Oreochromis niloticus: one gene and its partner. The protein of the gene in region 2 purifies or fractionates together with the protein of the main gene of each other region. This does not show direct contact. Links are inferred from orthologs where the notes say so. Each region holds a gene or a part of one and is shown on either strand. Other genes may lie near its edges.

Region 1 (16,487 bases), on a different chromosome or scaffold from region 2:
ACTGAAACAGTTACATGAACGTTCCAACAATTCTTCCTGTTGATGTGCAAGTCTCAGAAGCAGCTTCTTGATGCTAACGAAAACACAACAAGTTATAAATTATAGGGTTCACTTAATATTTCATGATTGCTATACTTAAAGAGTAATCAGTTCACAAGTTGCGTTAATCCTAACTATTTCTTCTCCTACAACTATGTATACAGCAGCATTTTTCTGTTGCAGTAAGTTATATCCAATTATTCTACCAGCTGCATCATAGCTAATATCATGAGCTGGGAAAAAAGTAACCAAATAAGTCAGTGAGAGCATGTAACTTTCACATCTTCAGCAGGATTATAACTGTATATTTCCAATTATTTTGAATAGCTGTGCTCTAGATGAAAAACAGACCAAAACCTCTCATCTCATTTTCTCCAGCAGGTTTTGTCCTGTTCTTGTCATCTTTTCATGAAAGAAGCCCTGATGTGAAACTCAACAGGAGCTGGAGGTTTGAAAAGTCCAGTGCACCGCATTAGGAACAATTAGTTTCTGGATTGACATATTGAGGTCTCAAACAGAAATTCAATGAGCAAAGCCAAAAGAGCAGCAGCCTGCAGACAGAAAGCTTTCTGATGATGTATAAGAGAAAGAAACAGTGATGTTTTGCTGGTGTGTGACTTAGAGAATAATGTAAAGTCCTGGAGCTGAAGAGAGTGTCTAGACCAAGTCTGACAGGATTAACCCAAGAGGCAGAAACACAAACATCGTTGCTTTGTAACCATCATTCACAAATATGAATGGGCCTGAATCACTTGTGCAGACACATAGACATTAGACACAAAAAACAACACCTGAAGGGAGAGTCTCACTATGTTGTTGTGGTGCAGTAGCAGTCAGTCCAAATTTCACTTTGATGCATTTTTACCCTCCACTGCACTGACAGCTGACAGCCATCTTTTTGCAGTTTGTACCAGAAAAGTCCCCTCCTAATAATCAACTCTGTATATGTCATTAAACTCTGATGAGTAAAAAAATTTGGACACCAAACATTAATTTGAACTTGTGTTTTGTTTTGTTTTGGCTTTGATTTGATTACATCATTTGTTTCTTGTACTGGCTGTGAGTGTGTGGATGACCAATCATCTGAGTTAATCTTCCTTGATTACAAAACACGTGCTTTACCTATTGTTGAGGGAAAAAAGGGATCAATGCCATCTATGTTAAACACAGTTAACCTACCAGAGTCACCCGGTTGCAGACAGGATCACGTAAGGCATTGATGTAGGGTGTGGCTGGCTGAAATGTGTAATCCTCCAAAAAGGAAGCATCATGGTGTTTAATGGTTGGACCCTTCAGCCCTGTCACTGGTGAAGGCATGGCATCCTAAAGAGATGTGTTAAAATAGAGAGGTGAACCAAAGGAATCAAATGTACCAGACATACAGTACACACTTAAAAAGCAAAGAACAGTGCATTTACAAAGCATGTTAATACCTCATCAAGTCTTTGGAGATGCCTACTGCCAGCGTTAGCAGGTGTGCTAACAGTTTCCACTGGAGTGCTGCGGTGAGGGAGGTGATTGGTCAGGCTGAAGGAAGGTGACAAGAGTCCAGGGACAAACACCTTGCTGACCTATGTGACAACCAAGAAAACAATAGCATGATTCATTACAGTGTTATAAAAAAAAAAAAAAAATCTCAAAACTCAATTGTTGTCTACAGTAAGCAAAGGCAGCTGTGTATCAAGCTTTAGTCTGTACTTACCCTGGTGATTCCTGTATAGAGAACCAAACTACCACAGGCCTCCAGAACTAGCATGGCATCTATACTCTGAGGAGCAAAGTTTCATTGTCAGAAACACGTTGAATATTACTCAGGAAAAAAAAAAACTCCTGCTGTAATTTCCCCAGTTGTCAACAACTGAATACAAAGAAAATTATCAAATATTCACACAAGATGGTAGAACCTGTAAATGTGCATACTTAAAAAAATAACTTAAAAGTTGAAATGATAATGAATAAATATAAATCACTGGTTTCTGCTCCAAAATTCAAGCATCCAACTCCATAGTTTTCCTGGGAGACTTCAGGTCACATGGTAGTTCTACCATCCAGATGATGGAGAAAACTAAAAGTTTCAGGAAAGAATGACCTACCTGATCTAAACTAGAAAAAATATTTTGCTATTGGACTTTTTTGATAGGCATGGACCGGACATAACAACCACTATGATCAATAATTACAGTTTTTAATTTTTTTTTTTAAAGTTTTAATTACAGTTTTTCACGAAATCCTCTGCGGAAGAGATTTATCTCATATATATATACACACACACACATTAGTTCCTGTAGGTAGCAAGGAAAACCTTAATTATATCTTGCAAAACATGTTATCATCCGGATAAGATTAAAAAAAAAAAAAAATACAGGAAGGCCTCCTACACATTGCTTACAACTTTACACCACCCATGCAACAATTTGTTAAGGTGGAAGAGCCTGCTAAGGACTATTTTGCAGCACAGTACAGCACCATAAACTTGATATTGACCCTGACTCTAATGAATACTGTGTTTTCTTCCGTTTTAACTTCTGCACTTTCCCTTTCAACTCTCCAATGATAGAATTTTATAATGTACCTGCAGAGGCTCTGCATCTTTAGCAGAGATGGTTGTGACAGAGGGGAAGATGAGCTGTGATGTATCATTGCTCTCAATAAACTTCACACATCTGCAGAAAATAAAATGATCACGGAAAAAAAAAGTTAACTCGTGAACTCACATTACACAACAAATTAGGGTGGAGAAAGATGTTTGGACATGTGCAGAGATGTGTGTATGTTTGTTTACCTGAGCTGTTGGTGAGATTCCACCAGGAAACACAGATAGTGATTCTCACAGAGATCAGAGGTCAGGAATACTTTAGATGCCTGGCTGCTCATTTCCCTGCAAATGGTAAAAAGAGATGCAAACTGATGTCAAACAGCAGAATTTGCTAAATCTGAACAGCGTCAAGCTACAGAAAGAACTGTATTACATAGAATACAAATGATGTCTTTAAAAAAAGTTGTGTATTATGCAAACAAGAAGAACAAGTTGCTCACAAACTTTGATCTAAAGGCTAATGAGCAACTTTGCAAGAACATTCGAGTTTTCACTGCATATTGCAGTGAAGTCAGAGTCCAATGCTGCCAATTACCTGTTGGAGCCAGCAGTGACCGCCTCACTCCACAGCTGCTCCATGCAGAGGTCAGGTATGATAGGTTCCATCTCTGGGACCAACACTGTCTCATTGATAGTACTGTTGGGAGAAGCTAACAAGCCATGGTGCCCCCTGGGGGATGGGCTGTGCAAAGACGTGTTGAAACGAGCCACACCTGAAAAGGATGGAGCTGCCATGCCTGGAGAGTGGGCACGGCTGAGACAGGGGGACAGTGGATAAGCATTTTTCAGTTTTTAACTATTATGGGGGTTTTTTTTACCTGTTGTCACAAAGTGAATGAGTACGTGCTTTCAGAAAAGAGTATGGCCCTCTTTGGCTCAGTTAACCTCACCTGAGGGCGGCCATGTTGGATATACTTGGAGAATGAACTCGAGAGTGAATTCCTGGTGAGGATGTGACAATCCTGCTCTGGTGGCTGTGCAAAGCACTGTAGTGGAGGGGAGAGCTGGAACCAACAGCACTGCAGGAAGAAAAACAGTAACCAGGTCAGATGTTGACGTTTTGGTCTCTAAGTTTTTAACTTGTAATTATTTTTAAGGCGAAATAATCCATTAAGTATCACTTTATTGTTCTGTCTGTATGACACAGCAGTAACCCCAATAACTGAGGAGCTATCTTTAGACAGTGGGACTTTTGCTTTAGAAACTACTCAGAAATGTAACGAGACGGTAACTAATTCCTGCCCGTCTGCTAATCACTTGATTAGGCTGCTTCACTTTCAGTACCTTGTTCCAGTCCCAAGACTATGCCCACTTGGACCAGTGCCACCAGGGGAGTCAAGACGGGAGACATTCCGCAAATGAGAAGTGAGAAAGCCTGAAGCCATCAGACCCAACGGTGTCCCGACCGGTTCTGCCGGACACCGCAGGACTGTAGAGCGCTCCTGATAGGGTTAAAAGGCTTTAGTTTAGGAAGAACTTAGTTGGTTTTAGTGTGTTTGTGTGTATTCATGATCACTCACATCATGTGTGACTTTGCGCAGAGTCCAGACAGAGTGTATTCCTTGAACTGTGTCATATGATACAACTATAGATGGCTGACAGCAGGTGAACACTATCTTCATGGCGGAGTCAGACACATACTGCACACGGGAGCCTTCAAACAGGCCTGGAAAAAACAAATATGTACAAATTCAGGAAAAATATGAAATAAGTTCACAAGATCTCATTCTGAGAAGATCAGTGTCTCATACCTGCAGGTTTACATACAACTGGTGCGATCTCATCTAAAGGATGCAGCATGCTGAACACTGTGGGCAGAGGTTCCCTGTGTAGGGGGGGAGGGAAAAAAAAAGAAAAAAAAAAAAAGAGCTCAATCCCTTGGTTATATACTTCCCGCACTGTTTTATGTTATGGTCAGTGTAGGTTTGTGAGGCTGTTATCATTCTAGAAATGTTTGTCACTACATTATTTCACATGGATGTATTGATTAATCGAAACATGTGTCGTGTACTTGTGCAAGCATGTGATTGGAAGTATAAAGTGTTAGCATGTACCCAGGGGGGCTGAATTGTGCATCATTTGCTGTGTTTTTACGTTCCATAAGAAGTCCAAACTTTGTTGCCCACACATGTGACACCTTGAAAAGAAAAGACAGTACAGACATGAAATATTTTTAACAACAGATGTCTGGTATCAACAATTATAAAAACACTGATGGCAGCCGGTGGTACTCCCCAGCCTCCTAGTAGAAGTATGCAGTTCCAAATTTTACATCGCCTTGTTCTCATGAGGTCAAGGTTTCTGAGATTCAAACTAGTACAAGATTTTTAGTAGATACACCTATGGTATAATTTTCAAAATCCTATGTGACTTCATTCTTAAATTATTGCATTCACAAACTTGGGTGTCCATGCTGCCCCCTTAAATGTTAAAATGTTCAATATTTTGATCTGCATATAAAAGGATACAAAAAACTGCACTCTGTTTACACAGATCCATCACGACCAGTGAATAATAAAATTCATAGCTAGGTTAAATTTTGTCCAACAATCATGAATAAAGTCTCTGTCAGATATTTATTTTAAGGCTAGATGCGCCACTTGTTTTCTTTGCTTTCCTAGAGTAGTTTAATACAGCCATGTATAAATTAATATTGAAAAACTGACAATATTCACAAAACTTTGTTTTTTACATCCCAACCAATTGGGTTCTAATTCAGCTTTTAAAATTCTTATTTTAAAAAACGGTTACTTGTACTATTTTTAAATTATCTTAAATAACTTTCTATTGAAACTAATACTAATGATATTCTCTGCCACTTAAAAACAGCACTGAAAGGTTAAGAAAAGTGCAACACCCTGAGAGCTTCAGTGTCAGGGACACCACAGCAGTGGGGATTCTTCCTGTCACAAAGGCTCTCACAAGGTGTTTCTTGCCTTTCTCACAACACCAACCCACGGTTTACTTGCCTCTTTATTAAATTCAATTATTTAGTAAGAGTGTGTGTCCAACCTTTCCCGTAAGAAAATATAAAATGCTTTATCACGAACTCCACATGCCTCAAGTTTAAAAACAAAACAAAACAAAACAAAACTCAAATGTTGAAAACACATCCCTAAATCAAATTATATTTTGTTGGTGTGCAACAGACTACTGAGTGAAAGACACTCGTAAATACACATAGCTATGCACACACATAAACTCACACACACTTACTTCCCACTGTCAGTGATGCAAATTTTCTATCATTACTGGTTAACCAGAAAATGGTTACCCAATAATGGCTCTGAGAAATATCCCTAATCCAAATGTGGTGGGTTGTGTGGTTTTAGTTCAGCTGCGAGGTGGGGTAATGTTTCAGAGACTTATGCATCCACTAATCAAATTATCCTTTTATTCAGCAGCGTTCTGGAACATGGGAGACACACAAAGAAGCCTGCAGTTACTGCTGTATGTCAGCGTGCATCTGTGTTGAGGTGGAAGTTTAGGTAGTGGAGGTCCAACTGAGTCACACAGATTTAAAAGAATTTTGTGGCTCATGTGTAGACCCATCTCCTTCTCTGGATATAAACATTCCCCATTGCTCTATACCTCACCTGGAAGGGCAGTGGTGAGATGAAGTCTTTTCCAGTCATGGTGTGAACATTAACACAGCTACTCTGGACAATACACACTGTGAGCTCCACTTCTTCCTCTGCAAAACATTAAATACATTCTGTGTTTTGTTCATCAGGACTGCAATATGAATAAGCAAAAAACTGCACAAAAAGACACAGTACCATCATTCTTCTTGTGAGGAGCAGCAAAGTTGCACCACAAGGCCTGGAGATAATAAAAAAAAAACTGTTTCAAGTCTTAGAGCACAGAATCCTGACAATCATCGCGGACGATATACAATCCATATAGTAAAGCAAAAGCCATACTGATTCCTGACAGAAAACAACATGGTCCCTCATTTGCCCTTAGAAATGAGAATGGACAAGCACAATTATGAGAGACCATATAGTACACAAAACAATCAGAAACAGACCTGCTGCACTGGGCTGTCAACAGTGAAGGCCTTATATACGCTGGAAGCTTGAGCCCTACTACCCTGGCTCCAGACAACCACGTTTCCTGCTGCATAGAGTTCTTCTTCAAATTCCATATCTTCCTCTTTGACTCCCTTGCAGCCCTTCCTAAGCTGCCAAAATTCCTGCCATTCAAATCACATCAACACAAAAACCAAATCAAAACCACATTTGAGCTTAACAACACATGAAGTACTGCCTTCATGAAAGCAGTGCAGCAGTGTTGTAACAATTGCATTGACTATATTACTGTAAAAAATAAATAAAAAATAAGTAAAGATTTAAAGTAATTAAAGATATATTAATGAAAAAAAATTAAATCCTTTAGGTGTATTCCATTTACCATTTTTCTTCTTATATTTTTACTGTTTAATACACACTAGTTCTTCTGAAGAGCAGGTCAGGAGAACAATTCAGGCTATCCATTAAATAAGACTGTTAGATGGCCCACTCCTATTATGAAACATTATAGATCATAATACTAGACACTCTCACCCTCTCTCTCTCCTGCAGACTGACTTCCTGCAGGGACCCCACCAGGCCAGCAGCACCATCTGATGCCCACAGCTCGGAGGCAGGCTGGAGCTCTCTGAGCTGCAGGTTGAAGGCGTTTGGATGGTTCCTGCAGTGCTCGCGGCCAAACGGGACAAATGACTGCAATTCCCCTGCGGCAATCATCGTGGCTGTCTCTTCATACACGACTTCCGACATGAGTTTCAGATATCAGCATTATTTCTGGGAAGAACAGAGTTTGAGGTATAAATGACAGTATTTAAAAGCAAGCAAGACTTTTTTCCAGACACAATACAACTGAAGAGCATCACCAATTTGCGCCATACCAGTCCGTTTAGCTGTAGTATTCATATCGATTATTTAACACGATAAAAATAAAGTATGGATCCTCGAGACAAGTTTACTGTAGTATTTAAGAACCAAGAGTTTCACATAAACTGTTCTTTCATTTTCTCTTTATAACATTAATGATGAGATTACTTTTATCAGTAGGCTATCTGTAAAGTACAGTAAATACCAGTGAGTATAAGATGAGGTGTAAATAAACTTCTTCTGCGTAAATAACTTTATTTCATTTACTTGACTGTAGGACAGATTGCATTACTGGTGGCTAAATAATGTTCTCTATTAACACATCGACAACTTAGCTGGCTGAAGCAGGCTCACTGGACCTTTACTATTACTGAAACTATCCCGTTAGAGGGGTCAACATAGTAGGGGATAGAAATCTCATTAACAATTTCCACAGTACTTCCACCGTAGCAAGTTTCTGTTGACTTTGATAGACGCGACATGCTAGAAGTTAGCTGGAAGTTCTTACCTCAAAAACTCCCACAAACAAAATTCGGTACTCTACAGACACTAAGACGCTGTAAATTACATAAATATACAACTTGACAGTCAGCTATGAGTCTGCATGCTGACACTAAACACCATTGAAACGGCCCGACTAGCATGCTAGCTACCATTAGCTGCAGCTAGCTTTAAGCTTACAGGGAGACATTTAGCCGCTAACCTGATAATAAGGAATAGTCTGGCCCTTGTCGCGGAGTCCTTATCTTTCCTTTCAATGCGTCTCGCTTGAGCACAACGTTGTCACCCTACAAACATAAAGACAAGTGGCAAATTCCGTATTCGCCTATAGCAGGTTTTCAAATGAGCGCGGACATCTTTGCTGTCCCGACATCCCATTCCTCCACGAGTCAGCCAATCAGCAGCGAGGAGGCGATATGCTGACAGCTGATAGGCTGCCTTCGTCAGCGCTATGGACACTACTAAGAAAGACTGTGATGAGCAGGATGTTTTATATAAGTAATTCAGCCACAAATTAAAAATATAATATAATTAATATAAAATATAATTTAAAAAATAAAATACCAACAGTATTTGTAGAAAATCTAGGTATATATAGATATTTGAAGATGAAAAATAAATAAATAAAACGAAACTCATTTGTTTATGTCTTTCTTTAGGGACATTTACTATTAGAGACCATTGGTAAATTTGCACTTGAGGCTTCCAGTAAAGTGAAAGCTTTCGGAAAGGAAAGCAAGAGGCTCAGAGATGTCGAGGATATAAATAATACTGCACAATAGGCTACTTCAATGCAACCAACACCCTTACCTCTTTAAACTGTATTTATTATAACATTATTTAGTATAGTTCCAACAGCACCCCCCCCCCTCCCCCCACTCAATGTGCAATATCATCCCGCCCCACACACACACACACACTCAATGTGCAATATCATCCCACCCCCCCACACACACCACACTCAATGTGCAATATCACTGATCACACTGCACTGTTAGATGGCATGTATGTGTATGTATATAGATGTAAGCGTGTATGTGGAAATATGTGTGTGTATGCATGTACGGATGCAAATATATATATATACATATATGTGTGTATGTGGGTGTATGTTTGCAGGTGTATGTATAACTTGTGCATATCTTTCTTGTGTAAATGTAAATTTGTCTGTTATTGTGTAAATACTTACGCTATTGTGTACTCCACACACATGGAGAGATGCCAAACTGCCTTTCACTGTTCTTGTAACAGTGACAATAAAAGGCTATTCTATTCTATTCTATTCTATTCTATTCTATTCTATTCTAATACTACAAATATTATGTCTTGTAGCAATAAAACGTTTTTGAATATCTATTAAATTTATTTAAAGCTGTAATTTAATTATGTATTACCCCCATATTTCTGCTGTTCAACCCTTCTATATGTGAGGGCCAGTCTATCACAACAAATTGGGTTTAAAAGGAGGATGGCTTTAAAGAAAGATAATCTAAAATATTTTTAGACGGCGAATAAATTTTACCAAGGTCTAGTAGAGAACTGTGAATAATGCAAAGTCACTCTGTTTAAATATACTGTGACCATAATAGTTCCACTGTAAGTGTTCTAGAGTGACTATAGTGGTTTGACAACAACCATGATTTTTGAGGATGAAATCCTTTGCACTTAAAATAATGAAATATTTATATGTAATTTCTTGTATGTTTATGATACTTTTAAAAAATAGCCAGCAACAGTAACTATCTGGCTGACAGATATTTCAGTTTATCAAACAGATCAGATGTATTTTTCAGTATTTAATTAATAATAATTAATTAATTAATTAATTAACTTTTTATTTGTATGCTAAATAAAATACATAAAACAAAACTGAAAAAAAATTGAAAATTATTTTAATTAACTGATAACCAAAATGAGGTTTGGATCCAAAAACCATCTCAAACACTGATGTTTGACTTTCAGACTTGATGATGTTAAACTTGGAGGATATTAATAAACAGAGCAGAGAAAATAACTGTCACCTCAATTAGGAGTAAATATGCTGATATTTAATGGGGGAAGTAGTGAGTGATTAACAGCACGTCTTCAAAGTCACACAGATATTTAGACTCAATATTCAAAGAAAACTGTAATTTTTATGTTACATTTAAAAGAATATCACATCTGTTTAAATGTTTAGCTTCTTTTATTAATTTTCTAATCACATTTTAAACAAGTTTTGCTATGTTTGAAAAGCTATGGTTTACATCATTACTGTAGTTATTTATAAGAAAAAGAAAACATTTAGGCCTACTCCAATATTATTAAGAGCAGTTATGTCATGAATTTCATCCTTCTGCCTCAAAGAAATCAAAGTCTGCACAACGCAGTCATGAGAAAATACACTGATGTAGGAAGCTGGGAGTGGCTCGGTGCTCATGGATGTGATGGATGTCGCAGTGCAACAAGGTATGATCTGAATGAGTTAACTCTCACAAATGATATCACTGCAGCTCACTGGGGAGTATGTGTCTGTCAGGGAAGGAAAGGCAGATAAATAAAGTGAGAGAATGTTATTCCATCTCTGACTAACAGTTGTTGTCTTTTCCCAGTCTATTGTGTATTTCACATAATTGCCTGAAAATAACACCAATTTTTGGCTCTAAATTGAATTCTCATCATCCTCTCCTGCATGCTTTCACTAGCACTAAATGACTTCTGCCCCAAATTATTGCCTCATTCTGAGTATAATTGACTGATCTGTATCAGTGAATACTCTCCAGATGCTGATCGCAAAAACCTTGAGTTTCACATTCTAGGTTTACTTTGTAAAGCATGAAAACACTCACATTTGCATGAGAAAACATTAATTATACTGAAATAAAAACAAATACTGCCAACATTGAAAAATCTTTTGGACTTCTCGGCATCTTCATATTTTCTACAGTTTCTCTGTCCTGTTCAGTTATGTAGCAAGCAGGATTTGGACCAAAATACAGAACATGGGGTACGAGAGTCAACTCAAACACTCTGTTATGTTGCTGGTAACTCACAGAACAAACCTAAACAGGGGCAGAAAACACTGGAACACAATGCAGGGAGACACACAACAAATGAGGGAGGACATGACAAAGAACTAAGGAAAACTCAGGGCATAAATACACATAAGAGGTAGTTAGGGAGCAAAGAAACAGCCACAGAATCTAACTGACATGACAAGTGACTAGCAAAATAAAAGATAAAGTAACTAAACACTGAGACAATGACTAGCATACAAAATTGACACTAACAGGAAAGCTAAGAAAATCACAAGAGACTAAATCAAATAACCCTAAGCAGAATGCTAGTTGAAAATAGACATTAACTGAAACTTGAGGACTAAATTATAACCAAGAATCGAAAAACTCGAGCACATAAGCTATCATTCCAAGAACACAGGAAATAATAGATGAGAAAAAAAACTCTTAACTAAGAACAAAGAATAACAAACTTAAAACACTGGGTCAAATACTGAGGACCATGGCACCCTCTTGTTAAACAAGCTTAGACTCATAAGCATGTTTCTAACACTAAAAGAACGCTATCTAAATAGCAGTCCACATCCTTTCTCCTCTTCTTCTTCCATGGCAGGTTGTTGCAGTTGTTGTTGCCTGTAAAATGTTTACAGGTAGGTCCTTAAATACATGGACAAAAATGCTATTTTTTGTAATTTTGCATTTTTTACACCACCACGCGGATTTTAAATCGGACAATCAAGATGTAAAGAAAGTTCAGATTCAGCTTTAATTCATTACAGTGGATTTAATAAATCTTATATTGTCGTATGAAATGTTTAGGATTTTCAGATTCTCAAAAGTAACTGGACAATAATTAATTAGCAAAAATGTAGTAATTACTAATTCCTAATTTCTAACTAATACAATATTTTTTAGGGAGGAAAAAGTTTTTAGCTCTCAAGGATCATCTATTCATACATCAACACACAAAATTTCATAACTTCAACTGATAATTTTGTTGTCATAAACAAAGTTTCCTCATTTAGAAAACGACAAGGACCATTAAATTCCATGGCATTATAAATAAGAATGTGTTTTTCATATATCAGCTTGACTTATTTGGCCCTAAGAAAAACTATATAAACAGTAAAAGTTGTAAAAACACAGTTGATTTATGTAAATTCTACTGCAGCGCAACCTTCTAAGGTGTTGCTGAGTACAAAAGAACAAAAAGAATTATTGCACAAGCTGTTATTATATTGGATAAAATTGGATTTTTTTCATGCTGCCTTTCCATGAAAATGAAGACTTTACAACACTATATCTCAACATATAACGCTCATATAACCATGACAGACACCTCATTACACTCTTTTAGCTGTGGCAGATTGGCTCTTTGTGGTGAGGTCATCTTGCCATAGATGCTCAGACTTCATTACTGAGGGGCTGTGGTGACGCACTGAAGCCGGCTGGGGAGGGACACTGATAAAGTCGCACTCTAGTAGTTGAGAGAAATTGCTTAAATGTTCCAAGTGAGCAGCAAAGAGAGAATCTGAGTAGACTGATGGCTCTTTGTAACATTTCACTCCATCACAGCTGTTGCTCAGTTTGACAAATACATCAGAAGCACCAATATAATCGAATGTATTTCAGCAACCTGTGTTAAAAGTAAAAATTTGGTTTCACTTTATGGTCATTTTCAAGCCTCTCAGTAGTGGATATGTTATATTGAAGGGTGTCTAAAGCTCCGTACTTTTAAGTTTTACCTTCAGTATCTTCAGTCACTTCTCATGCAAGGTTATTATAAATAAAATGCAGGCGAACCACTTCCATTGTAAGGTTAGATTTTTTTTTTTTTTAAGGTTAGATTTGACTAAATAATGCTTAAGTATAAGTAACACTGTAAATTTTGATAAATTGGCTTCACTTAAAAAAAAAACAATGCAAATTTAATTCCCCTGAAAAATAATTAATGCCAATTTCAGAGGGATGAGTAATATAAATGTGTTAATTTTGAGTGTTTAGTTTTCATTAGTATTTCTTTTGTGTTTAAAAGTTAAACTTGTATATGACAGTGTAATAGTACTGGATGATTTATAAATACGTGGAAATGTTTGTGAGAGTGTAAACTGGTAAGTTACAAGGGCTGTACATCTCAGACTTTCAGTACAGCTCTGTGTCATGCCACTTACAGAAATACTCTGACGAACCTTCAGTTGTGGGAAATGTTGGTGACAGGCAGGAGGGGAAGGGCAGAGTACTTTTATAGCCCATTACTCCTCCTTAGTATGTGATTTAGAAATAGAGACATACATGTTTTTCTTGATAAAAAAAGCTTATACATAATGTGTTCATGGTGTCATTTAAAAAGTTGAAGCAAGATTAACTACGAAGTCTCAGTAGATTAATAAACCATTAAGATGAATATATTAATGTATATATACATATACAATGTACTGTGCAAAAGTTTTAGGCAGGTGTAAATTGCTTTAAACAAAGAATGCTTTCATAAATATAAATGATTGTTTATTGGCCCCAAATGTATTCATTTTGCAGGACAATGACCCCAAACATACAGCCAAAGTCATTAAGAACTATCTTAATCATAAAGAAGAGTGATGGTATGGCCCCCACAGAGCCCTGATCTCAACATCATCGAGTGTGTCTGGGATTACATTAGGAGACAGCCTACATCCACAGAAGATCTGTGGTTAGTTCTCCAAGATGTTTGGAACAACCTACCAGACAAGTTCCTTCAAAAACTGTGTGCAAGTGTGTGTAGAAGAATTGATGCTGTTTTGAAGGCAAAGGGTGGTAACACCCTGATTTGACTTAGATTTCTCTTTTGTTTATTCACTGCATTTTGTTCATTTGTTTGTGAGTGTGTTAAAAGTTTTATAAATACTTAATTCATATCATAATTCATGTTTCTTTTGGGAGGCTGCTAGTTTTGAGAGTATTATTTTGAGGAGTGATCTTAAACTAATCATTTGCTTCTGAATATAAGACCAGAGAAATGGTGACTGACTTCATAGAGAAAAGACTACACAACATGTCCAGGGACAGGATGTTCATGTGGTGGAGGAGTACAAGTACCACACTAACAGCAGAATGAACTGAAAGACGAACACAGAAGCTGTGTACAAAAAGGGAGCGAGCAGGTTCTGTTTCCTAAGGAAGCTGAGATCACTCAGTGTGTGCAACACAATGATTGAGATTCACAGTTTTGGTGAGCACAGTGTGTAGGGAGCAGCATCAGACCTGGTGACTCCAACAGACCCAACTGATTAGGAAGGCTGGCTCTGTGATGGCAGAAAATTAGACACTTTTAAAGATGTAATATAGAAGAGGTCCATTAATAAACTGTTACCCATCATGGATAATCCTAACCAACGTCTGCATCATTTTGCTACAACTTTGAAACTGTTGAATATCATTTACTCTCTATGTTCTATGGTCACCATATTGGTGCAAATCATTTCCAGTGTGGCTGCAGATTTAGGCTTTTCTTTATGAAACAAAAACATCATTTATTCTATGCATTTGACTCCTAATGAGTCCCCAAGAAAGAAACTTTAAAGTCTCAAAAAAGAGAGAGCTGGGAGAGAGTAAGCAAACTGGGGGAAGTCAGCTGTTTCTTTCAGAAGATAAGCAGAGCACAGCTAACATGTTAAGCTATTAGAAGTTGTGAGCCAGTGTCACATGTGACACTGTATCTACAAAAGTGATCCAGCACAACTTAATTAACAGCCAGAGAGAGTGAAGCAACAGGCCCTTCTAATGATATGACACAGGGATGAGCTTATGTACTGGCAAATAGAATAGAATAGAATAATCCTTTAATTGTCCCACAAGGAGAAATTTGGTTGTAACAGCAGCCAAAAAGACATATATACAAACAAACAGTACACAGGACACAGAACAGAAACATACACAATTTTTCTTACATATTTACATTAAGGACAATGGTTACTATATACAGAGAGTACTGTACAGTTATTAAATTAAATATAAATAACTACAGATAAGAGGCAAACCAGGTTGTAGTGCGAATCGGTTAATTAACTTAGTGCAGTTACAGTGCTGATGTAAACATCTATGTTTGTTGGGAGCAGTTCTGATTGTACAGTCTGACAGCTGCAGGGAGGAAGGATCTGCGGAAACGCTCCTTCATGCATCTAGGATGCAGCAGTCTGTCACTGAAGGAGCTCTGCAGTTCAGCAACATTTACATGCAAGTTATTCCAAGTTATTCCAAGTTATTCCAAGGAACCATTTATATCAATAACTGTTTTCAGTTAGCATCAGTGCCTATATACTGGTGACCATTTTGATGTAATACTAAATCACCCAGTATATTTGGGGTGGCCATAGCTCAGGTGGTAGAGCGACTCACTGGAAGGTTGGTGGTTCGATCCCAGGCTCCTCCAGCCCACATGCCAAATATCCTTGGGCAAGATACTGACCCCATGTTGCCATCGGAGTGTGAATGCTAGATAGAAGCACTAAAAACCTTAGATAAATCCTTAGAAATGATTGGGTGAATGCACGAGTTGTATAAAGCCAGGTAAACCAGTCCGTTATACCATATATCCAAAGGCATTAGACTGCTGTATAACTTTGGTGTTTGGCAATATCAGAAATATGCTAAAACGAATTAGATATCATTTACCCCATTTAATCTGAAAATCTAATCTGTATTATAGTTTTGACACATATTGAAACTTTCATAGATGTTATTTTTATTTATATAGAGAGATATGACTAAATAAAAGAAGGGGACCTGGAGGTATTGCTTATATACAGAATTATTAGACCGATAACAATTTATTTTTCAAAAGTATTTTCCAAGTGCTCTTAAACAGAGCAAGGGTTTTTCAACACAGCCTTTACAAACATCCTAATTTTGTTTTGGATGCTTAAATTATTTAATTTAATTTATTTTTTTATGTTAGTTTGGACACAGAAGTAAAATTATTTAGCAAAAAAAATGAAAACTAACAGGATCAAAATCATGTTAATAACTAGTCATCCTTTTTGCCTGCAGTAATTTTCTGATGTTTTCAAGAAGTCTTACACACGTCTCTTAAACAGTCTCATTCCCACTTCTTTGGCTAGTCTCTGAAGCTTTCCAGATTTGATAGTTTTCTGACTTTGGCCTTCAGTTCACCCTACAAATTGTTAGTGTGTGGGTGAGCTGAATATCCCAATGCGATAGAAGTCAGGGCCAGTTTGCTCTGAATCCCCCTGCTGGCTGCCTGAGGTTTACTTTTAGAATCTTCACATATTCTTCTTTCTTAATGATTCCTTCTACGTTGATGAGATTCCCAGTTCCACTCTCAAAGCTGCTAAAGCATATCCCCACCACCATGTCCGACTGTGGGGATGGTGTTCTTTGAGTCATATGCCTCTCCCTTCTCTTTTCAAACATAAGAAGCTGTCATGGTCCTCCATTCCTCCTAGACATCCCTGCCAGTTCTCT
Region 2 (16,769 bases):
ACAGAGAATCCATCCGAACACCGCAAGAAAAACTAATAAAATAAGAGTGATTATGTCTTCATCTTAATGTTTTTTACTCTTTTATTCCAAGATCTGGTTTTTCATGACTGTTATACAAACCTTTAGATTATTTTGAAATCAAACTCCAACATTTAGTACAGAGGTGTCAAACATAAGGCTCGGGGGTCAGAATCAGTCTGACAAAGACTCTAAGACTCCAATCCAGGCCGCTTGGACAGGTTTGGAAAATGGCATAAATTTTGGACTTTTAACTGTATTTTTAAACATTTTATAACTTATCCTACTGATGAAGACCATGGCCATTCATACCACACCAACATAACTACATAGTAGGTAAACTATTTAATGACAGATGCTTTTTTCTGCTGGGTACACTCACAGCTTAAAAAAAAGAAGCAGTTTCTGTGAATTAACAGACACTTTCTGTTTTGGAACAATCTGAGCAATGAGCTTTCTTTTGTGTAATTCTCAGCACTTATTTCTTACAATTTAAGCCCAACGAGCTGCGCTGACAGATTTCTTTCATTTGATACGGCAGCTTTTCTTCATCATGTAGAAAAACGGGGACGTACTGCTGAAATTGGACTTCTTTTTCTTACACTGAGATACTTCAGAGATTAAATGTGTAACTAAAGTTCTTTACACTTACAGAAAGGAGAGTTTCACTGATTTGTCCCACTTGTGGGCACAATGTGAAATAAGTTTTACATCCTTGATTTACTATGAACATATGGCTTTGTCCCTCTCTTGAGAGTGCTACACTCAATTTTGCTCCAAGCAATAGATTTGATTGCCTACTACGTTTAAAACAAGTTTTAAAATCCTGTGTGTGTGTGTGTGTGTGTGTGTGTGTGTGTGTACATACCTCTTGGAAAAGCTTGTTAGGAGCAGCAACAGCTTTGGTCTCCTCCAGGTACTGAGCCCACGTCCACTGCTCTGTCTTACTGTCTCCACCTTCACCAAACAGACACCATCATTTATTACATTTATAAAATAATTTATTACAATTTACAACTAATGGAAACAGTCAGAAGAAGAGAATTTAATGGCATTTCAGATGTAGCGGAATTTAAAAAATCAATGCCTGCTGTGAAACTCCAACATTATGTCTTCTATACACTCTGAGTACTTCTTATTTTCGACCTTGCATGTTTTTTTTTCCAAATAAATTGAAACAAGAAAGGGTATGTAATGAAAGGATAAAGAAGGACATACAGCTTCTGGATGAAGTATAGAGATGATGTGATTTTATGTGATGTAGTGTTGCAGCTTAGTAGTAATAGTATCCAGTGAAAGATGATATGCGTCCAACAAAACCACTGATGCAAGAAATAAATGCTCCCACCTCCTCTGATGTGTCGGCCCTCTGCTTTAGAATCATCCATTTTCTCATCCTTAAAAAGAAAACACAAGAAAGCACACAACAGGAAACGGTGAGATGGTAATCACGCATAAAAGCGCCTTTAAAACTGAAATAGCAACGCGGTTCCACCGTGCCCTCGATGTCAGAGTCTTCCTCAGATGGACTCAGGTACTCCTTCCTTTTCCTCTTCCTCATGGGTTTCAAGTGATCGGGGTTGAGGGAGACTCTCCCGCCTGCCGGCACCTTCTCCACGCCAACGCTCCTCCTGAGGCGCGGGGAACGAAAGATGAGCTTATGCGCATGGAGCGAGGCGCGTAAACATAAAGGCTGAGCAGCGGGGCACATACTTGTCAGTGATGGGGTCTCTGCGGAGCTCCTCTGTGTAGGTCCTCTGAGCTCTGGGATTATGGTTCTGTTGTCCTGGATCAACCTGGACTTCGGCTTTGACCGGCACCAACCTCTCTGGCTCCAGGGCCACGCCCCTCCCAGAGCCGGCAGGAGCCGACGCATCTGTCACAGACAGGGCTGCAGGTGAAAACACGCCCGTCTGCATCTTTATTGAATATTCTTTGACTTTTCAAAGTTTCTCAGCTGGATTTTAAATGTTTACAAAGAAATCTGCAGCTGCAACCTCTTCACTTGTAAAGAGAAGCTCTGCTACAGCTGATGTAATTACCACTCATTTATGCTTAATACACACACACACACACACAGATGACTGAGCCCATGCTGTTTAGTACTTCAAATAAAAGTGCAGGCTGTTTAAAGCAGCATGACACGTGTAACACTACAACTAGTTTTACTCACTGTTAGATTGGAAATATCACACATGGTATAAAAGCTGCTTTGGTTATGAAATATGTGTTAAAATATCACAAACACATGTGGCTAAGTAGTATAAAAATCTGTTATCGTGGAGGTGACCGGTTCCAAACTGTTTTCTGCTTTGTGTGTGCAAAATGTAAATGATTCACCAGAGTGCAGCATTTGTGTGTCTGTGCCTGATATTACTATGACCTTATGTAACCACGAGTCTACCTGGCTTGTCTGGAACTCTTTCTGCGTCAGTGGATCTCCCAGAAGTCCCTGCTGCAGGTTCAGCGGTGCTGCTGGCGGTGCCCGGGGTGATCAGTGTGCTCAGAGCTCCTAAGTCACTCACACAGAACTACAAGACAAATACACACACACACACACGCATCAGTGCACCATCTGTCAAAATGTGTCCGTGTCTTTACAAACTGTATGCTGCTTTAAAATATACATATACATATATATATATATATATATGTATATATATATATATATTATCGTTGCTGCTTTCTTGTCTGTTCTGTCTCACAGCCTTTAAAGAGTAAAGAAAACTAAATATGATGATTTTAAAGATTTGTATTCTTATTTTGATTAGCATATCCTTTTTTCTTTTTTAAATCTGCAATAACGAGGATCACATTTTCTTTAGGTGGTTCAGCTTTGTCGATGTGCTCTCCTTAAAACTACTCAAATCAAGTTCTTTCTCAGCAGACTGTTAAATTACAACTTTGTTCACATCAGCAGTTAGGCGCTCAGTTTGCTCACTGCTGGCGTATAAAAAATGCTTGAATGAAGACATGTAAAATAATAATAATAAAATTCTAAGCTGATTTTTATACATGTGAGAAGTTTTTCAGGACTTTGTCAAAAAAGAAATAAAAACAACTTTCAATGACTTTTTTTAAACCACAGCGAAGCTTAATATCACTTTACCTTGAGGTTGCTACTGGGCAGGATGGCCATCCCCTCCTTCAACTCTAGGACATGGACAATGCTACAAGCTCCGCCCACCTGTGCTGTCAGTGCAGGCGTGGCCATCTCATTGGCTCTGCTTCCTTTACCTGGGTTACCCACTGCAACAGCTGGAGTCACCTCCACCTTCTGATGGGCAGGAGCTGAGGAAAAAGATGCACTTGGAATAATAAAGCACAAAGTGATGTAGTTCATTGTCCTCTGCTTTACTCACTATAAATGGTAAAGGAAAAACAGCGCTCTGTCGCCGTGACAACCAGGCAAATAGTATTTGTTTGTTTCTATAGATTTACAGACAGGCTTGGTTATCAGCACGATTCACAAAACTGTTAAACAGCTGCTAATATCATCACTCAGTTTTCACACTCAGTTTTACTGCACATTTCTCTGACATGAGAAACTGCAACAGAAATCAGTATCTGCTGCTTATTAGTGTTATATTATTGTTATTAGTGATTAACACGTTTGTAAAAGATCCCAGGGGCACAGACCCGGCCTCAGAGAGGGTCACAAGCTTATGTGCTTCTAATGCCAAGTCGGATAAATGGGAGGATTATGTCGGGAAATAAATTCTGTCTGATTTTAATTTTTACTTCAGTTCATTAAAGTGTTTTTTCCCCCCAAAACTTTGTTATGGTTTTTATTTCAGTTTTAAGTGACAACAACAGTCTTGGTTTCTCTAATACAGAGCAGAGATTTTGGAAGCAATCAAACTGTTTTCTTGATGTTGTTGTTATTTTGGACAAACACAGTTTTAATTACCTGATTTACTCTTTTGTTAATAAAATTAAAAAAGTAAAAAACTTCCACAGCTTTGGTGAGCTAGAGCTAACGCCTCAGAAAGTGTTGCTTTGTCCGGCCAACACATCAAAACTTAAAGGTTTTCACAAACAAACATGATAATATTGAACATGGAAACTCTGAATTAAAAATTATGCATTCAAAATTATTGTATAATTATGAACAGGCATTGGAAGATTTGTCAGGATTTGCACATGCAGTGAGGAGTGGCTGAGTGAACTCTATGCACGACCGGTCAAAAGTTTGAACACACCTTCTTATTTAATGTTTTTTCTTTATTTTCATGACTATTTAAATTGTAGATTCTCACTGAAGGGATCAAAACTAAGAATGAACACATATGGAGTTATGTAGTAAACAAAAACATGTGAAATAACTCATGTTTTATATTTTAGATTCTTCGTAATAGCTACCCTTTGCTTCTATTACTGCTTTGCATACTCTTGGCCTTCTCTCAATGATTTTCATGAAATGATTTTCCAATAGTTTTGAAGAAGTTCCCAGATATGCTCAGCATCTTGTTGGTCATTTTGCCTTCACTCTGTGGTCCATCTCATCCCAAACCATCTCGACTGGGTTTAGGTCATGTGACTGTGGAGGCCAGGCCATCTGGCGCAGCACTCATCACTCTCCTTCTTGGTCAAATAGCCCTTACACAGCCTGGAGGTGTGTTTGGGGTCATTGTCCTGTTAAAAATAAATGATGGTCCAACTAAATGCAAACCGTATGGGATGGCATGTTGGTGCAAGATGCTGTGGTAGCCATGCTGGTTCAGTGTGCCTTCAATTTTAAATAAATCCCCAACAGTGTCACCAGCAAAGCACCCCCACACCATCACACCTCCTCCTCCATGCTTCACGGTGGGAACCATGCATGTAGAGACCAACTGTTCACCTTTTCTACGTCGCACAAAGACACGGCGGGTGGAACCAAAGATCTTAAATTTGGACAATGACACCAAAGCACAGATTTCCACTGGTCTAATGTGTTTGTGCTAATTTTGATAATTGTGTTTCTTGGCCCAAACAAATCTCTTCTGCTTGTTGTTGTTTTTGCTTGTATTGGTTTCTTAGCAGCTATTTGACCATAAAGGCCTGATTCGCAAAGTCTCCTCTGAACAGTTGATGTACAGATATGTCTCCTACTGGAACTCTGTGCGGCATTTATCTGGGCTCTAATCTGGGTTGCTGTTAACTTGCGATTTCTGAGGCTGGTCGGATGAATTTATCCTCAGCAGCAGAGGTAACTCTTGGTCTTCCTTTCCTGGAACGGTCCTCATGTTAGCCAGTTTCATCGTAGCGCTTGATGGTTTTTGCAGCTGCACTGCATTCAAGGTTTAGCTATTTTCCGGACTGTCTGACCTTCAGTTCTTAAAGTAATGAGAAGGTGTGTCCAAACTTTTGACTGGTAGTGGATGTAGCATCTTTAACAGTCCTTAAACCATAAGCCGGCCCGATTCCAGGAAGCAGGCTTAGTAAACAACTCTGAATTTGTTAAACCTAAATTGAAGGAAACACTGGTTTTCTTCCCCTGAACGAGAGGTAACTTCAACTCTGAGTAGTTACCATGGTTACCAAGTTTCTCTCTCTGACTCCTCCCCTCTCGTTATGCCCGAACTGACATGCAGTTTAATTTCTCATTCATAAAGTCGCTGTCAAACTGCACAACGGGGCAAATTCATTCACAGAAGTGGGCATGCTTAGTTCACTGTTTTCTGTACCTAACATGACCACTTTTATAATCGATCAGTAATCAACATGAAGATGGAGACAGCGATTACATCTTAGACTTATTGTCAGTTCAGATTTAAATCTATAGTCTCGGTCTTTCTAAAGCTGAATCTCTATGGACAGTAATGCAGCTGTCACACTGTCAGTCAGTTTGCCCACACTTTAAACATTTGCTGCAGCAATCACTGTTTAAGTTATCAATCATGTGTTGTGCTGTAATCAGTCACACTGATGGAAAAATGACTGTCACGGCTGGGTCTTGGGGATGTTGAGAATATTTGATTAAGGATGAGGCTAAAAAGACTAAAACTGAGTTCAATGTTGTTTTACAGTGACGTTTAAGGATGCGCTCAGATAAGCATCATGGAATCAGACTGGATCAGGTCTGGATCCGGCTCATCTCCACCAGATCCACTCATAGCGGCTTAATTTGTCCCGATACAATCTGTATTCCTTATTGAAAGTGCCTCACCCTCCCAGAATTACACTAAAATATCTGTAAACAGCTCTAGAAAAGCTGAGACATTTCTAAAAACATGTTTGTCTATGGTAACATGCAAAGTCTTACTATCAGGCAACCAGTAACTGAGTAAAACATCTCTACTGTTGCCGTAAGAGAGCCATCATCTATCACTGAAGGCTGATATTCCATAAAATTATGAACGCTTACACTGGGGAACATTAAAGCACAGTTTTTCCTCTAAATCTAATTAAAAACTTTTATCCAGTAATGGCAGACATAATGAAATCCTCTGTGAAAAATGAAATTCTTACAGCCCATCAGTACATTAAATTTTTACTGAATAATTATTGGAAAAATAATGTAATGGTTATAAACTGCTGCAATAACTGTTTTTTTACTGAACCAAAACTGACTTGAGGGCAGACTGTCTGTTGCCGTATCGGTTACTAATCTCACAGGTCCATCAGTAAAGTGTGGCTCGTCTGTTTCTCCAGATTCTTATCTTCCCGGACGTCTCCTAGATTTTGTCCCTGTCAGGTTACAGCTCAATCATTAGGGTTAAAAAATCAGAACTCCAGCTTCATCTAATAAAAAGTTGGCTAAATAATCACCACAGTCAATACAGAGAAGTTAGATATTTCATATCGAACATTTATATTGTGTATGATGATGATCGAACGGCCCGTGGCTCAATAAAATTACTCTTTTCCGCACTTCTAAACGGACTAAAACGAGGCTCTGCTCCTTGTTTACCTGTTGCCATGGTGAATCTGCTCTCCTAAAGTAAAAGAGGTAAATTTTTACATTTTAATTTAAATGTATCCAGCTAATGATTTTATTAGACTGAGATTTAAAGCGCATGACTTGTTCAATGAAAAGAAAAGATGACTTTTTAATTAACATTAATTTTCATTGGATGTTTTTTAATCACAAATGCAGATTTTTCATCGATAAGCCTGACCTGAATTACTGAAAGAATGATCTGAAGCCGTTTAGTAAGTCTATGAAGGTTTTCTGGAAATGAAGACTCAGAGTTGATTTTTAAACTCACAGCTTTGTGAACAGGGACCTAATAAGATGAGTTGCATCTTTTGTGTATATATTTCTATGTGATGTTATTAAGTCAACCATTAAAACGACCCTTGTTTTGTAATGTGATGCCTGTGAATGAGGTTAAACATTGCAGGTGTAAATTCTGAACTATGACCTTACACTTTGCCTGGTAAATGATTACACTGCTGGTTACTTAAAGGCTCACTTCTCAATTCGTTTTTCAGTCTAATGAGGTCAGAAGACACTATCAGTGTTTTCCCCAACAGTGCTTTAGTAGAGTATGTATCTGTGAACATCCTTACATATGAGTTCACCTGGTAGCAGGAGAGCAGTGGTGGTGTGGGGCTGAGGCCGAGCCTTCTTGGCCACACCATCACCCCCGCAGATGAGGATTGTCTCTGTGGGAGACGAAGATGACGGATCCATAGGGGTGCAGTCCGGTTCTTTGGCTGGAGCCTCCATGTTCACTTTGGCACTCATGACGGCGTCCCAGTGTGTTGTGCTGGAGCACTGGGAGACACAGCATGAGAAATAACACAAAGTAATGCTGTCTGGTTATAGGGTAACAGCTTTAACATTGTGTGTTAAAGATTTATGGAGGAGACTGTACCCAAAACCTGAGGAGGGAGTGCCACAGTATGGACGCCAGAGGAATCCCGCCAATTTAAGCTTTCATTTTTATGTTGTTTGTTGTTTTTAAATAAATATATTTCTCTATTGGAATATGTCCGATTTAGAGGCATATACAAAATTCAAATCTTAAATTATTATGTTATTTTCTGCTATCTTGAAACATCTTTTTAATTTACCACATTAGCACCGCTTTTATCATTCAATAAAATACTATGTATCCAAAGTACAGCACAGAGTTTAAATTTTACTTTAAAAATGTAACACAATTTAACCTACAAAAAAAAAAAAAAAATCTTCCTCTAAAAGTATTTCCAATAAGGCAAAACAGCAATGAACTTTTAAAAACCATGCATTCCTTCCAATAATAAAAGAATAATGGTGACACACCAATATTTACGCGCAAGCTCCCAAGTCTACACACACACACACACACACCGACAGAGACTAAAATACAGCATTTCAGTTAAAATGGCGGAGGATCTGAAATCCTTGAGGCAAAAAATGTGCTAAAGCAGAGGCTCAATTCCTGTGAAAATCCCATTTAATGAAAAAAGCAACCTTATCGCCCATTCCGGCAATATCTTTAATGAATGAGCAACATTTTCTCCTCATAACAGCGTTAAGTGTGCCGGGTATTTTTGAAACCTTGGCGCAACTGCTTTAAATTTAAAATTTGTATTTAAACAGGCTACGTCAAAGATCCGCTAGCCATTATCAAATTTATATATTAAAGATGATAAGCTTTGTGCTTGATTACATCTCTGACGCCAAAAACGGTTTACCTCGGTGAGGGGAGAAAAAAAAAAATAAACAACAGACTGGCGGGTTTCTTTTTAAACCCAGTGTGACTAAAAGATGCTTCTGTCTTCTATAATTAGAGGAAAGTTCTAAAAATTGATTTTAATTCGTGTTTTCGGTTTTCAGGAACTGAAATTTGGCTTACCAGCTCTGATCTCCTGCGGCTCCGGGGCTCCGATTGCGCATGCGCGGGTCCACAGTACAGTCACCGCTCGTTGGCTATAATATAACGCCAAAAGAAAGACTTCCAGTGCGTCGCTCCACTTTCAGTAATGGTCGATAGGTGAAAAAAATAATAACAGTGCTCCCTCGATTAGCTGCAAAACTGTAAAATAGCTGCTGTAACGATTTTTATTTGGCATGCAAGTGAAATGTTCGCGCTTACAACCATAAATACGCGCTCTGCTCATTTCCTCCACAACTGCAGCCTATAATGAGCGAGCGTTTATTATATAATTAGCAGGATATAGGTCATGTCAATACTGCAGTCAAGGTTTTCATAATCCAGACAAAACAACGTCAGGCACCAAGTTTATTTTTTTAATGAAGATCTTTTATTGAACATAGCATAAAAAAGGACTTTTTCCCCCATTGGATCTCAGATGTTAGGGGGGGGTGAAAAAAAGTCAGTTCCACAAGATGGAGAGTGTGGCTGCATTCAGCGAGTCTGATGTTTACAGACTCACAGGAGATCTGAACACATGGACCTTTCCAGTACAAAAACAGTGCTAGCTGCACACTTTAAATAAGGCTGTCCAAAACCCTTCAGTCTGTTCTGAAGCTGGGGAGGGAAAACAACATTACCAGGGAAGCAATCGGCGCAATGGAAGAATCTGAGGAAAAACAGGACAATGCAAAGGAGTCTCTAGTCAAACTGAAAATCAAAAACTAAAATAAAGGCCCTTAATAGATCACCTGCTTAATGTTACAAACCTCCTCCCCCCAAAAAGCTACAAAAAGATGAAAGGGACCAATTGCTTTGTGCTGATTACTCTATGTACAAGTAGTTAAAATAATCCATCTACAATGCAAGTTATTCAAACGTAAGTCCAAACCCTCATTAGCTTTAAATTAAGCAGCTCTGCACTACAAGCTCTTACATCCTGAATACTCATTGTTTAACACGAAGACAAACTGATTCGTCGAAGAACGCGACTGAATGCGCAGGTCAACAACTCAAATGCTCCAGTCCTGGAGCCTACTCTTCAACAATCATGCGAGCTGAATGAGTACAACACAAAATAATTACCAAGCAAAGATGGATGCTTCAGACATAAGAGGCCTGGAGACAAGGACAGCAAACTGTCAGACTAACAACCAAAACAAACTGCTGCAAACTGAATAAAAGAACATTTAGACAACTTAATATTCACTGACCAAACAAACAACTTTAAATGAAAGCAGAACAGTAAGAAACCTAAACTTTACCAAATCAGGCACCAGTTACAGAGACATTAACTTCCTCAGGCTATAGTTGTATAGCCCAGCACCCATTATTTTCATTAATCCAAAATTCTAAATTTTATTTTATTTTTTTTTATTTTTTTAGGGAGCAGATAATCTGAAACAAGTCCAAAAAGCATTGGCTGTATTGTGGTTGATGGTCTAATAAACTCCTGCTTTAACAAGTTAAAAGACAAATGTACATTTGAAGGGGGGGGCCTCAGAAGCATAAACCAGTTATTAAACATTGCTCAGTATGTACAGCATAATGATCAAGCTAAACAATAAGAAAACCTCTCCCCTCTCTACACCCACTAATCCTGAGAAGCTGATCTAGACCGTGAGCGAGACCTGGAGCGGGACTTTGAACGGGACTTTGAACGGGACTTGGAGGGAGACTTGGATCGGGACTTGGAGCGAGACTTGGAGCGAGAGGCTGAGCGCTTTTCTCTGGACTGGGATCGGCACTCTTCCTCCTGTGGAGACGGGGAGCGAGAGGCAGATTTGGCCACATGCTCTTCTTTTCCATTCTCTACTGGAGAGGGTGAGCGGCTGCGGGACTTCTTCTCAGCAGACCGTTCCTTTGATCGGCTACGAGAATCCCTCTCCGACTTTACCTTAGAGCGGCTCTTTGAACGAGACTTGGACTTGTGCTCGGCTGAGCGAGACCGAGATTTGCGAGAGCGTGAACGAGATTTGGATTTGTTGGATCTGTTGGATCTAGAACGAGACCTGCGAGTGCGAGAACGTGATTTGCGTTCTCCTGACTTGGAGCGAGACTTTCTCTCAGACCTGGAGCGGGAATGATGCCGTCTCTTATTGCTGCGGGAACGAGACCTGTAGGAACAGAAGCAAAGCTCAGTACAGCCCCACCTTACATGACAGCAATGTCCTGGACAAAATGTCATACTGAACAAAGAACTTATCAATACCAATAATTTAATTCATATCTCTATGTTACTGTTCCAAGATTACATTGATCCTAACCTCGAGTGGGATCTGGAGCGACTCTTTGAGCTCCTGCTCCTGCTTCTCCTGCTGCGGGAGCGCCGACGACTGCGAGATCTGAAGATGACAGAGCATGATTCAGAAAAAATTACATCAGTTTCTTGTTAAATAAACAAAATCTTTGAGCAACAAAATGTACAAAAGGAAGGCTCATCTTAAAAAGCAGTCAGCAGTAAGAAATTTGCTCACCTGGAGCGGCTGCCAGAGTAAGACCGACGTCTGCGAGGACGATCCTCCACCAGGCGAATTTTCCGCCCGTTGATGTCAGTACCATCCAGCTTGTCCAGAGCCCTCTTCATGTCGGAATACGTCCGGAACTCAATCACTCCCTCATTAGTGCGTTCCTTGTGGGCATCTGCATAGGTCACCTCTCCTGCCTGACGCATGAAGTCCTGGTGGACGGGAAGAGGATGAGGTGCCGAGTATTGATTTCAAACCAAGCACTTATACAATACATTTTCCCTTTATCTGAAGATTCCCCTCTCTTATTTTCAAATATTTACCTTGAGGTCCTGCCAACTACAGCGGCTGGATAAGTTCTCGACAATGAGGCGGTACTCTGTGCGGACTGGCGGCCCATATTTGTCCCTGCCAGAGCGGCTGCGGCTGCTGTAACCGCTACCTTTAAAAAAAACAACAGCACACACAAATAGTTAGAAACCACTAAACCAAACAAGATTCAAAGTACTACTGCTCTGGGCTATCAAATGCACTCAAGGCAGTGAGTTTCCAGATTATTGTCCTTGGGGGGTTTTAAATTTGTACTAACAGTCAAAGGGGTTTCTTTGATCTCATTTTCAAACAGCTTCAGTTAAGTGCTCTACAAGCAACTGCATGGGCTCTTTAAAGTTTGTATTTTTCAGCATTTGGAAGCTGTTTTCTGCTGCAAAGAACACCACTGCATCTGTTTCCGGCAATACAAAAAACACAAATCAGCATCTGTCTTACTCCAGTACATCACTCTGTGATGCTATAGCTGCATAAAACAAATGGACAGTGATGTTCTTTCAAGACCTCTGTATCCTGTAACACAAACAGAAAGGAGGCATCCACAAAGGCTGCAGTCAGGGACACTGTTCAAATTGATTACGGTGTTAAAAAACACACCAATCTTTTGAAAATTGGTATCTTTTTATTTAACCGGATGTCAGTCTGAAATTCTTTTTTTCCAGTTTTGAACTTACAACATTTCTTTAGATTGTAAGGTCTGTAAAGGTGCCGATCCACTTATGTTTGCTGTCAACATAAAAACCAATGGCAATCCTCACCATCACCCCTGGTCTATTGGCAAAAGGCTGCTGTCATCATGGCTTCCGGTTAGGTCAGCCAAGGATCAAGGGGGGGCAAAGGTCACACACACATTGTAAGGTGAAAGCCAAGGCCAAACGGGACAGGCAGTCATCTTAGCCAGTCATCTTTAGCCTCAATGGACTCTCAGCCTCAGCCCGCAACTGGACTCTTTCAAATTGAAACATCAAGGACTTTTGTTAATGTTGAATATAAAAAAAAATATATTTATATATATATAGACCAAAGTTAAAACACATTTCACATGAAAATGTTAGTCTACTCCTAATGACTACACTAACTAGGTAGCTATGCATGTCGTGATTTGTGTTCAGCTTGTTTTTTCCCCCTCTGGTGCAAAAAAGAAAGGACACCTTCACATGGCTCACCCAAATGACAGTTATGGTTCAAGTGAATTTTACAATGTATGATAAGAAAACTATGTTATTTAACAACACTAAACTCTAGACTCAAAACTGCTCTTTAAATCTCGCAGATTGTTGCCCCTTGCAATCAAATAAAGCAGTATCAAATAGCATGTAGCTCGTGATGATAATCACTATGGAGGAGCAAAAACCTGCAGGTCACTACCCCTTGGGTGACAGACTGAGAACTGTTCAGCAGGGTGATATCAAACCAAACTGGACTCCCTGATTTATAAGAATGAAGATAAATCATGGTTGCATGTGATGAAGTTACTGCATGATATAATGGACAACATGAACAATAGCTCTACTGACAGTCCTACAACTCTGCATGCAACCTGCGCCTTAAAGAGCTACCCACGCGGCTGGCTATAACCCATGAGGGGTAGCTGGAAAAACCTGATCGAGGGCCAGCTGAGTATCTGTAAACCTATGCGGCAAGTCTGTTAAAATTAGCGTCACCATGAATCATTCAAACAGCTGTCTGTGCAGTCCACGTCGACACCTCACCCCAAGGGGAAGGGGAAGAGAGGGTATCTTGTAATAGACTGCACTTACTGCGCCCACCACCCCAGTAACCCCCACCGTAGCCATCTCGGTCTCGTCGCGGGCCCCGGGCATGCTCGACGATCACCCGCTCCCCACACAGCTCCTTCCCGTTTAGCTCGTAAACGGCGTCGTCGGCGTCCCTATTATCTTCGAACTCCACGAATCCATACCTGCAAAAAGAAAGGGTTTAAATGCATGAGTATGAAATACTAAAAACCACATGAAATTAGTTTAAGCAATGCGTTCCCGTTTACTTCCACGAATCAACTAGCTAATTAGCGTTAGCATACGTTAGCACAGCGACGTGCACAGTATAAGGACGCCATGTTGGCCACGCGACATTTGCTAAACGTGCATGAATGAAGTTAAAGAAACAAAACCTTTTAGATTTACAAGGACAATGCTAAATGTCAGACATCGACATATTGTCCTTTAGAATCAAACTTAACTTGTAAAAAAATATAAACACATATATATATATATATATCTGCGTAAGAGTGAAATGCCCCGCGAGTCCGTGCGTCGTTCGCATGAATGGCTAGCTTTAATGCTAGCTACGACATGCTAGTTGGACTCTCGCTTACAAAATTCCGCCGAAAACTTACCCGTTTTTTAAATCAATCTCCATTAGCTTCCCATAGCCGCTGAAAAAACGCTGAATATCTTTTTCGCGGACATGATAGCTTAGTCGTCCGATATAAACTCGAGGCATTGTGGTTCGCCTACAGTGGTTCTCGACTGTTCCTTTCCACTGCTCCGAAATTGCTGAATGCTACTACCGTTAGCTCTGCGCCAGCAACCGGTCGGCTGTTTCGCCAAATCCAGCCAATAAGCGTGAAGCTAACGATGATCAATTTCCGGAACAGAACTTCAAATTAAAAGCTACCGTTTATCACACAAAACCGCAGACAGTACGCACAGGAGAGGAAAATACTAGTTAAATCCTATGTAAAATCTACCCCAGTCATTTCCAACTAGAGGCATTTTGTAACTGTAGTTTGCATTGGGTACATACAGAGATCATCTTAACTAATTCAAAAAAGGAAAAAAAAAACAAAGAAAAAGAAAACACCTCCAGTCACAAAAACTAGGTAGTTAAAAAAACATACATCTAAACAGTAAATTGTTGGAATAGTAAAGTCTCTATTGCAATAAAGTTGACTTTAAAAATTCCCGTTAGCAGCCAATCACAGAACCAGCCTTCAGTTTATTCACTCCGTTGGTATTACCATTTCTGATGCATATGGCCCACAGCTGCGTGACGGATTATCTCTATCATTTATAATTTCTGTTTAAAGCCTCTGTGCTGGCCTTTCATGTGGTTACCCAGGTAGTCATAGTCCTCCACCACATCAGCAGTCTGTCCCAGAATACACACGGTTCGTGTCCTTCTGAAAGTCAGTCACCAACTTCTTTGGTCTTATTCACATTCAGAAGTGGATACTTCCTCAATGACCACTCCACAAATTCATTAACTTTTGCTCTGAATGCCTATTTCCTCCTCATCACTTAAACATCCAGCTGCTGCAGAATCAGAGTATTTCTTTAGGCGACATCACCTGGAGTTGCACTGATTGAAAGTCTGAGTTGTACAAAGTGAAGCAGAACTGAGACAGCATAGCCTCAATGGTTTGATAACTATTGGATAAATTGGCGAACTATATCTATAGCATCCATATTCTGACTCCAAATAGTATAAGTGCAAAGTTTGTGAATTTAACTTAAACATCCATGGTTTGGCTGTATAAAATTGTTGAAACACATTTATAATATGGCAAGTGGTGGAGATTAATGAGTACTTATCTGATAGGCTATGTGCTTAAGTCTGGCTGGTTATGACAGATTTATGTGACTTATAAATCAGTGATTGATGTGTTCGCCTGCATACTGGTAGTTTAAGCACAGCTAAAAAAACAACAACTATTATATAATGATATAGTGACATTTGGGCCTGCAGAGGAAACCTAACAATGGCACCCAGTTTCCATATTATCCTGCAGTCAGGTTCCAAATAAATCTGCAACTCGACATGTTATTACCGATCTCAAGGACATTGTCTCCAGTTACCATGGTTATCAGCTGCTCATGTTTTAACCTTGTGGGTCTGTGTTTGTATCATTACAGCAAACCGTGGGCCTCACAAGGACCGTCAATCACATCTGAGCAAGTCACACAAATAAGACTTAAATATTTTAATGGGACTCGAAAAAAATGGCCATATCTATAAACGGGTGAAGCGAGGGGGGCATAATGACGAGAGCCAAAGCCGTTCACTGATCATTACGACCTTTTTCCATTGCGACAGAGTGAAAACATCATAACGTCATTACCATGACTGACAATTACTAAACAGGCACTGTCATTAATGCAAGCAGAGAAAGTAGTGGAGAGAGAGAGTAGAATATTTTATTTTTGTAAAAACCAGGTTTTAAAATGATTCCAGCGAGACCTTTATATTCACATTCCTCTCAAAACAATTAAGATTGATACTTATTGATAGACTCTGGTGTAAATTTCTTTAACCACACTGCAAAATAGGAACCTGAAGGAGGAGACGATCTGAGGTGCCTGCTCAGAAGTTGTTTATTATTACTTTATTATTTTAGTGACTGGCGTTAGCTCATGAATCCTGCTCATCGGAGAGAGAAAAAAAAAGAGAAAAATTGAATCTTTATTTTCAAATTGACTTCATCAAACCTCAAGTGGCTGACAAAATTTTCTAATCAAATAAGTACACAAACTGCTCATCAGTGCCACAAAAGCACTCACAAACATACTGTATAATAATAATTTCTACTCGTCTCATAAACAGCCTCCTTTATTAGAGTACTCTTAATGTTGCTCTCCCCTTCATCAGCCCCCAAGTCTTCTGGTTTTGTGTCTCCTGCTACAAAATGATCAAAAGCAGGTCCTGTGTTAGGAGCCTCACACACTAGTTTCAGTGACATGTTCCTGTATGTACTCCAGCCCCGTGACTGATTTGTCTCTATAAGCTTGAGTAGAAAATCCTAGACTGACAGTTTTTTGTATTATCATTTAGGACAAGAGCAGAAACATGAACACACCCTTTAGTTGAGTTCAAGAAAAAAAACTATTCCTAGGCTCTGTTACTGTAGATGAACTTACCTTATCTACAATTTGGCTAATCTGAAGAAATATTAATGTCTGGTGCATGTAAAGTGGGAGAAAATAAACAAAAAGTAAACTTCAAGCTGTGTTAAATCAAGGTTTTTTTTGGAGGAATCAAGAATCACAGCAAATAGGAAACAGAAAAAAAACAAACAAACAAAAAAAAAAAACCCCTAAGAGCTGGAGGGTCCACCAACCAAACAAATCAAATGCTTTCAGCAGTGTATGTGTCAAACATCTGTTGTTTAACAGGTGCCTGAACCCTATCTGTCATCTTTAGACAC

The links.
Region 1: the proteins of l3mbtl1 (region 2) and anapc1 purify together in Homo sapiens (affinity purification with mass spectrometry; 4 studies listed by BioGRID and IntAct, counting the BioPlex papers as one, with this or other methods). This does not show direct contact. The link is inferred for Oreochromis niloticus from reciprocal best matches to the Homo sapiens genes L3MBTL1 and ANAPC1.

What each region holds. Positions count from the first base shown.
Region 1 is NC_031978.2:10,093,792-10,110,278, forward strand, and holds the start of anapc1 (anaphase-promoting complex subunit 1), read right to left. Parts: upstream 8,427-16,487; 5' UTR 8,234-8,426; intron 7,441-8,233; 5' UTR 7,417-7,440; coding exon 7,201-7,416; intron 6,831-7,200; coding exon 6,666-6,830; intron 6,458-6,665; coding exon 6,415-6,457; intron 6,330-6,414; coding exon 6,232-6,329; intron 4,773-6,231; coding exon 4,690-4,772; intron 4,461-4,689; coding exon 4,387-4,460; intron 4,302-4,386; coding exon 4,156-4,301; intron 4,078-4,155; coding exon 3,920-4,077; intron 3,655-3,919; coding exon 3,526-3,654; intron 3,390-3,525; coding exon 3,171-3,389; intron 2,918-3,170; coding exon 2,822-2,917; intron 2,703-2,821; coding exon 2,612-2,702; intron 1,808-2,611; coding exon 1,742-1,807; intron 1,611-1,741; coding exon 1,473-1,610; intron 1,363-1,472; coding exon 1,219-1,362; intron 1-1,218. UniProt on the Homo sapiens protein: Component of the anaphase promoting complex/cyclosome (APC/C), a cell cycle-regulated E3 ubiquitin ligase that controls progression through mitosis and the G1 phase of the cell cycle.
Region 2 is NC_031984.2:24,631,779-24,648,547, reverse strand, and holds the start of l3mbtl1 (lethal(3)malignant brain tumor-like protein 1), read right to left. Parts: upstream 9,050-16,769; 5' UTR 8,790-9,049; intron 7,724-8,789; 5' UTR 7,694-7,723; coding exon 7,516-7,693; intron 3,310-7,515; coding exon 3,128-3,309; intron 2,550-3,127; coding exon 2,423-2,549; intron 1,910-2,422; coding exon 1,732-1,909; intron 1,650-1,731; coding exon 1,514-1,649; intron 1,416-1,513; coding exon 1,367-1,415; intron 976-1,366; coding exon 887-975; intron 1-886. Other genes in the region: serine/arginine-rich splicing factor 6, read right to left, coding at 10,402-10,924, 11,075-11,152, 11,285-11,487, 11,599-11,717, 13,366-13,526, 13,962-14,068. UniProt on the Homo sapiens protein: Polycomb group (PcG) protein that specifically recognizes and binds mono- and dimethyllysine residues on target proteins, thereby acting as a 'reader' of a network of post-translational modifications.